2 linked regions of the Schizosaccharomyces pombe genome follow. The gene in region 1 interacts genetically with each later gene. Each region holds a gene or a part of one and is shown in the gene's direction. Other genes may lie near its edges.

Region 1 (3,733 bases):
TGTTGACATATTCTCCAGGTTCTATCAACAAAAGTCAGTATTTATAATAGCAAAAAATCTTTTTTTTATGAATCAACTTACGTTTTAACCATTGTGCGAGGGTACCTTCCGTAATAGATTCAGGAAACGGAGGCGTTTTAATGCGTGTACTGGCTAAAAATATAGTTAATGATTTTTGAAATTGAAACAACATAAGAAAAAGTAAATCCCGAAGATACTGAGTGAAAGGAAGAAAACATAGTTGAGAATTCCTATTCATGTGTGAATATGACCTTGTGAAGAATTATTTAATTATTTTGAAATCAACAGCGTCCACTTGATTCAAAATAAAGTTTAAGACAGATGCACTTAGCAAAAGTTGATTCTTATGAGCAAGTTGAGTACTAACATATATATCCCGTCTCCTTTAACAAACAATATCTACATCATGATCAACAACACATACCATAACGGGCCCAAAGGACGTTGGCCATGGATTTAGACACTGGAGCAGTGACTGAATATCCTGAACGTAGAGATAAAAGACATTTCGCCATCATGCGAAAGCCATTGCCGTAAGAAGTCATTATGATGGTTTTTCCGTAACAAGTAATTTACTTCAATCTTGAATAAAGACAGCACAAGAAAAAACAAGAAGAATGTACGAAAGCCAAATCAACTAACAGTGGCTTGCTTATTTTGTATTATTGCTAGAGGGGGTTGTTGTATGTGGTAGAAGGTAAATATGCTACACCCTTATAAACACTGTAATATATTATATGGAGTATGAGTGCACGGTAGTGCTTTGAACCTGTAGAATCCTATTCGGTGTGTGAAACCAGTATGACCTATGGTAGGCCATTTATAAAACCTTATTAGGAAATGTAGCTGGGGGTAGTAAAGAGATTTGATGAGAGTCACTGTATTTCGTTAAACATTGTTTAGAAAGGATTTGGAATAATAAAGGTTTGCTACAATACACTAAATTGTAATAGTGTGATGTAAAGACAGCAAAAATGATAAACTATTAAGGATCAATATATGAAGTTGTTTTAAAGTTGAATTCAAAAAAATATTTATCAATTTCGGTTTTCTCCTTTTTTTACATTGACATTTTGCAGATATCCAAAAGAATAAAAATAGTATTGAAAGGTGTGGGACTCGAACCCACGAGCTTTCGCACTAGTGCCTTAAACTAGCTCCATAACCACTCGGACAACCTTCCTAGTTGTACGGTTCTATCCATAGACGAATATATACAGTAAAAATAAAAAATATTTGAGCTGTTATTCATACGAATGAATTATTATTATGAATTAATACCTCATATATACATTTGATATTGAACATTGTAATTAGTTTCAAAGGCATATGACTTTTTGGGTCACTGCCGGAACAATATCAGTCGTAAGGAAATGCATTGCTTGCCCGCACACGAGCATTAATGAATGTTTCCGCTAATTTGCAAGATATTCGCTCTGAACTTACAGAATGAATAAGTATGGTTTAGAATTAGAAATCACATTGGTTTCGCAGCTTGAGAGAAATGTTTGTTTTACATTGTAAATAGTAAGCTTATTTGTCGCGCGTTTATTGGTATTGCTATTTCTATATATAGAAAAAAAAAACATTTTCCTAATACTTCATCTCATCTAGCTCTAATATATCGAAAATTCCTAGAAACCCTTTTTTTGCGATCAAAACATTCAATTAAGCTACATAAGTTGTATTCTACAAAATGTCAGCGGTTCGCTGTATCAAATAAATAGTATATATAAACTCTATACCTCTTTTGTCTTTATCATCCCTTTAATCAATTCCTAGGTTTTTCATTGAAGACATTTTTTGCAAGCACCTACAGTATATATATCGTTGATTTTATTTACCTTCTTCACTAACCAATTTTCTTGAGCCTTAACACCTAAATGAAGCAATTATTGAAAAGTTGGATTTATCCAAATCTCAAAACTTTGTTAAACTTCATTTTAACCTAAAGTCATATCTTTAAAAAGATAAATCGCATGGCAAAATGTTGGAACAAAGTGAATCGCACGCGTTCATAAATAATGCACCAAAAGAAGATCGAATCCAAGTGAAATTTGAACAATTATTTGAATCTCTTCCTTTGCCATTGCGAGCTGAAGAAGCATTGAGTAAACTAAGACATGATTCTGCAAGATTGATGATATTAAAAACTTCAGATCCTACGTTAAATATGTCGACTTATAGTATAGAGGATTCTCCGATGGGCTTTGAATGCTTAAAATATAATTTAAGTGACAATAATAAATTACTTTCACAAAATAATTACCGATTACCAGACTATTTAGAAGAGGATGAAATAGTCAGCTATACTTTTTCAAAAACCGGTCCCACTACTTCAAAAAACAAGCATCCATCACATTCTAATACAATTAGATCACCTCCTTACAAAGTGAAAAAAGAATCATGTCATACAGAAATCAACAACGTGTCTAATGTTTCTACGGAAAGTATCAACGTTATTGATGCATCGAGGGGTTACTCGCCTTACACATCAGTGGATTCTCTTTCTGTGAGTAAAAACCGTTCTTTCATATCTCTTGAAGAATCAGCAAGTAACCAATATGATGCTGCAGAAGCTTTTTATTTTAATGCAGACTCATCCTCACCGTTGAGAAAACTTAGCCCTATAGAGCTTCCTGTGACTCCAATAAGACGCAAAACCCCTACAATTAACCCAAACTCAGAACTTAAAAGACTTCAAACTTTTGGAAAACTGATTTTGCATAAGGGAAGTCGTAGAAGGTAGTGAGTCCAATCGAACAAGAAGTATACAATAACGTTTCTTTGTTATTACGAAAAATTTTGAATGACCATTTTATAATGCAAAAAGTTACCTTAAGCGTGTGCAGTAATTTATTCAAATATCAATAATCCTTTTAAATGACTATACCGAGCACTATACTTTGTATGAGTAGGCTATAAGGATCTTTTTTAAAAACGTTTATCTTGGTTAGGAACACTAAATGCAATTAGCAACCACGCATATCAATATAGCTGTATTTTTTTATTAATTTACAATCCAACACCTCTAGCTCCCAATTCAATTATTACATTGCTTTTTGGAGCTTTTATTTAGCAGCAAATAAATTACAAGTTGTATAATTACATTTTTTTTTTAATCCTAGAAAATAAGCAAATCTTAGTTTAATTTTCGCTTATTCTAACATTCTTAATGTATATTGTATATAATAATAATTATAGTCACAACGAGATGAAGTATGCGAAGGTATAAGAGTATACAGCTCCTATGGTCTTGCCCTCGGTCAAGCTCAGTAACAAATTGCATTTTACCCAAGAACCAAACAACTCATATAAATGGACAAGCTCAAAGAAAAAGGGTTTGTTAAACTAGAAATTTATTTGGAAAATAAAAAGAGGTTGCATAGTATATTTTTGAAAGAAGACACGGAAGATGTTGAAAAGAAGTCACTGTATTTGATTAATGTTCCTATCACAACTACTGAAAAGATTTTGAAAAGAGCAATTTCTCAATTGGGCGGTCGTATCGTTAATATCTATCCTAATATTAGTGGCCTTTTGAAAAGTGGCACCCATTTACGCGTCAAATTAGTCGAGCCCGCTGAAGTTAAACAAGTTATCAAGGCAGCTTCTAAAAAGACGACCTCGCTTCCTTGGAAGTTCACACAGCATACTGGTTTGAAACGTAAGAACATGGTCATTATTTTTTTGGAAATACTAATGTGTTTAA
Region 2 (3,788 bases), on another chromosome or scaffold:
AAGATCAAGCGATAAAAGAAAAATTATAATTAATAATGTTTTTCAAAGAAGAAGAAAAGAAAGTATTAAAAAGAAGCAAGACTCAAATCAAAAGATAGATAAAAAATTGAGAAATGCGATGCAATGCAATGAGAAGTTATTTCAAAATTCTACTAGTCTGAAAAAAACTAAAAAATGAAAAAGCAAAAGAGTGTCAAAAGGTAATGAGGAATAAGTAGACGAGCGAATGGCAAAATCAGAGAGGTTTCAAAAAAATCGAGTTAAGTGATCAAAATTCCTTGCTGAACCTATTTGTCAATTGCAATACTAGTACTAAAACAAAGTCTTCGTCGTTCCCTTCTTTTTTTTCTGATTGCAGTTTCTTATTCAGCTTGCTTTACGAAACCTTCAAATGTAATGACAAATATGGAGCTCTATGCGGTTTTTTATACTTAGGATCCATGGTGAAGGAATACAAAGAAATTCGAGTATTTGAACTATACAATGCTCAAACAATGGTGTAGTGTTTTAAAGAAAGTGCAATTATGGAGTAGTTGAAAGAGTTGCGCTGTACTCAACTTCCTTTGTTTCATCGGCATGCTGTGCTATTCAGGTAACGGGTACGTTTATTGTTGGAGGGGAATGAGTAATTCCTATTGTCATATTCCATATGGTGTAGTAATTCTTTTCATGTGAATGCTTCGGTAAAGAAATTGTTCAAAACAAGCATACCGTAAGAAACTGAAACATGAAACGACTCGGTTTTGCTTCAAGTTATAGAAGACTGTGTTCATGAGACTAAGTCACAAAGAGCCAAAAATAGTTTATTTTACAATACGTTCCCTATCGTGTCCAAATTGTTCTGTCGTTTTGTTTAACATTTCTATTGTTCTCGCTATTGTCTGTTTCACTTGGCACTTAGTAAGAATGCAAACAATGCCGAGATCAATTCATCCTTTGTTCTAATTATTTAGCGATGATTTCTCCAATTCTATGTTGTAATGGAATTGATAATAGTTACTAGTTGGTACAATAGACACTTTCTAAAAGAATTCTATTGAGGAGCTGCGCTACGTATCCTCATATTTACATGAATGAACAATCAAAATATGGCTAAACTTGTCGAACAGAACGCTTTCAACTAATACGAATTATTTGTGAAAGAAAGCCAAAGAATCGTCACGCTTCTTTGGGGCGATGTGACAAATGGAATGCTCAACTTATGGGATTTTTTTATTAAATTGTGCAAATGATGCAAAGTAATATTCACCAAAACGAGTATCCTTATTTTCTTTATTTTAGGTATCGTTGATTTCTCATTTTATCATTAAAAAAGTAATGTGGAATTGCTATGTTCGTTGGAATCCACAAGGTATCGCAGCGTTCGTTATTATTACAAAATTGTATGTCTATTAATTTTATGTATTTTAGAAATTCTTAAACAGTATAGAATTAGTGCAAGAACAGATAAATCAGTCTTTTGGAGCAATGAGTTAATTTACAAGCGTTAAGCGACCATCATTGAAATTACACTTTTGCATAAACTATTCAAAAGAACTTTTCATTATCTTTTTTTTTTGATCTCTAAGTTCTAACAGAAATTAAATCTAAAAGTCATTCGTGAATTAGTTACGAAACTCTAATACAAGTCTACAGTTATGGCACCGTTCACTAATAAACCACTACTGAAATCGCTTTCCTACTAATAACTGAAAATCTCCAATTTTTGCCTTAAGAAATTTATTGGAAAGGATTTTTTGAACAAAATTTCTCAATACCAAATGATTTTAACTTTCAATCATGTGCAATCGTCAACCGAAAGCCGTTGACCTGCCTCCAAACTATTCTTGTCCACATCTGTTGTCTTTTCAGTCTGTCGAATTTAATACTAATCCTACGGCTTGTGATGATGTGTTTTGTAAAAGAATTGAGTCCGAAAAGAAGTACAACGACTTTTTGGAATCTCTTTTCAAAAAATATGGACGCGACACTTCTGATATAGCTGATGAAGTAGATCTTGCAACTGGTGAAATTATTGTTAATAATGGACATCTAGAAGCTTTAAAAACAAAAGATGATATATGGGATCCTACATTTAACAACCTTGAAATCTCAGCGTCAAATGGATACGAAAAAAAATTAGACTCAAGCATTGGCAACCCAGGGGAAAAAGCTGTTTCACCAGTCCATATAGAGGATTTTCAGTCTCCCCAGATCTATAAATTTAAAAATCTATCACTTCGTGATGAAATGGTGTCAGATTGTGTGTTTGCAGATGAAGTTCCTTTAGCTTCACTTTTTGTGGAAAATGTTTGTAATGAAACTATACCCTCTCAGTCATGCGTGAGACTAAAAATCAATGATAAAACAAGAAAAGTTGATGCTTCAGCTTTGGAAAAAAAATCTTGTCTGTTGCCAAACTCATCAGGAACATTAACAGATCAGCGTGGTTTGGATACAATCAAGCATAAAAGCATAGAACAAAATGAGATTTTGCACGTCATCTCTGATACTTTATCTTCACCGAGAAGAAGGAACCCTTTATTATCATCTCCTAAAACTCCTTTACGTAGATCTTTTTCTAAGTCAAAAGTCCGAAACTCCAATTCTACAAAACGAAGAAACTTTATTTCATTAATTTCAATGATATCCCCTCGACCTAATCTTTCTACCCATCATTTTAATCTTGGTTTTCAACCTTTAAGTCAACAAACTTCGTTCTCAGGAAGTAGCACTCAGAACCCTCATTCTTCCAGCACTTGTAAAAAAGCATTTTGTTTCCAATGCATTTCTGAGTCAAAAAAATGTTGATTCAGCTTTAAACCACTTATTCTCCCATCTTCTTCGCTTGCCATACCATGGCTTTTAATGACCTATTTCTTCGAACATATATTTATTTTTTGTTTTCATTTACAACAAATTGTCTTTCGAGTTATCATGTTACATTCGAATATATATTTTTTTACTAATATATTAATCATTCGTTGAGTTTTTACGTGATCTATGCTTTTGTAGTATGGCAAATGAGTACACATAATTGTTCTCCACTCTTCATGTTATAAGTAAAAATCGTAGTCATAAAGATATCTAGCCGAAATATCCATTCAGTGTGTTGAACAAAGATTATCTTTAAATATCGCTTAATGAGTACAATATTTCAATTTATAACACATGTACCTGTTTAAATGACTACTTACACCACTACAAATTTCTGTCATTGTGAATCATTATGGAGTCGAGTGTAAAATGTATGTTAAATGCCGCATTACTAAAGCTTTATCTATAAACTAACAATTAAAGATGCGCAGGAGTTCGTCCAACGGTATTACTCATCTCTTGATACGAACAGAAATGGGATCGCAGAATTTTACAGAGAAAATAGTTTGATCTTATGGAATGGAAAACCCATGCAAGTAACCGAATTTACCTCTATGATAGTTAATCTTCCATACTCCAAAACTAAAGTTGAGGATTTCGATAGTCAACAGGTCATGGGTAATGATATGAATATCATAATTGTTGTTTCAGGAACAATACGTTTCGATGGAAAAAAACCTCATGTATTTTCGTATGTCAGTTTTTATTGTATTTACCTTCTTGTACTAAGATCCTCTACTAACTTCCTTTAAGAGACAATATAGTTCTACAACAGGAAGAATCAAAGTATTATATTGCCAGTCAAAATTTTAGAATTATGAGTGAATAATACGTATCCAAAACAAAGATTTCATTTCGTTTAGAGTTTGTATTAATTTGCCGCAGCAAGCTTATCTGAGCGACACATTCCCTAATCCCTCATACTTCTTTAG

The links.
Region 2: of mis20 (region 1) and scm3, a mutation in one rescues a mutant of the other (synthetic rescue), as found in Schizosaccharomyces pombe (one study listed by BioGRID).

Annotation. Positions count from the first base shown.
Region 1 is NC_003423.3:3,208,014-3,211,746, forward strand, and holds mis20 (protein Mis20), read left to right. Parts: upstream 1-1,872; 5' UTR 1,873-2,008; coding exon 2,009-2,770; 3' UTR 2,771-3,150; downstream 3,151-3,733. Other genes in the region: kgd2 (dihydrolipoyllysine-residue succinyltransferase), read right to left, coding at 1-21, 82-153, 446-566; rRNA processing protein Rrp7, read left to right, coding at 3,340-3,688.
Region 2 is NC_003424.3:1,860,155-1,863,942, forward strand, and holds scm3 (CENP-A histone chaperone Scm3), read left to right. Parts: upstream 1-1,652; 5' UTR 1,653-1,779; coding exon 1,780-2,790; 3' UTR 2,791-2,978; downstream 2,979-3,788. Other genes in the region: mRNA export receptor Nxt1, read left to right, coding at 3,209-3,227, 3,280-3,608. UniProt on the Schizosaccharomyces pombe protein: Centromeric protein that plays a central role in the incorporation and maintenance of histone H3-like variant CENPA at centromeres.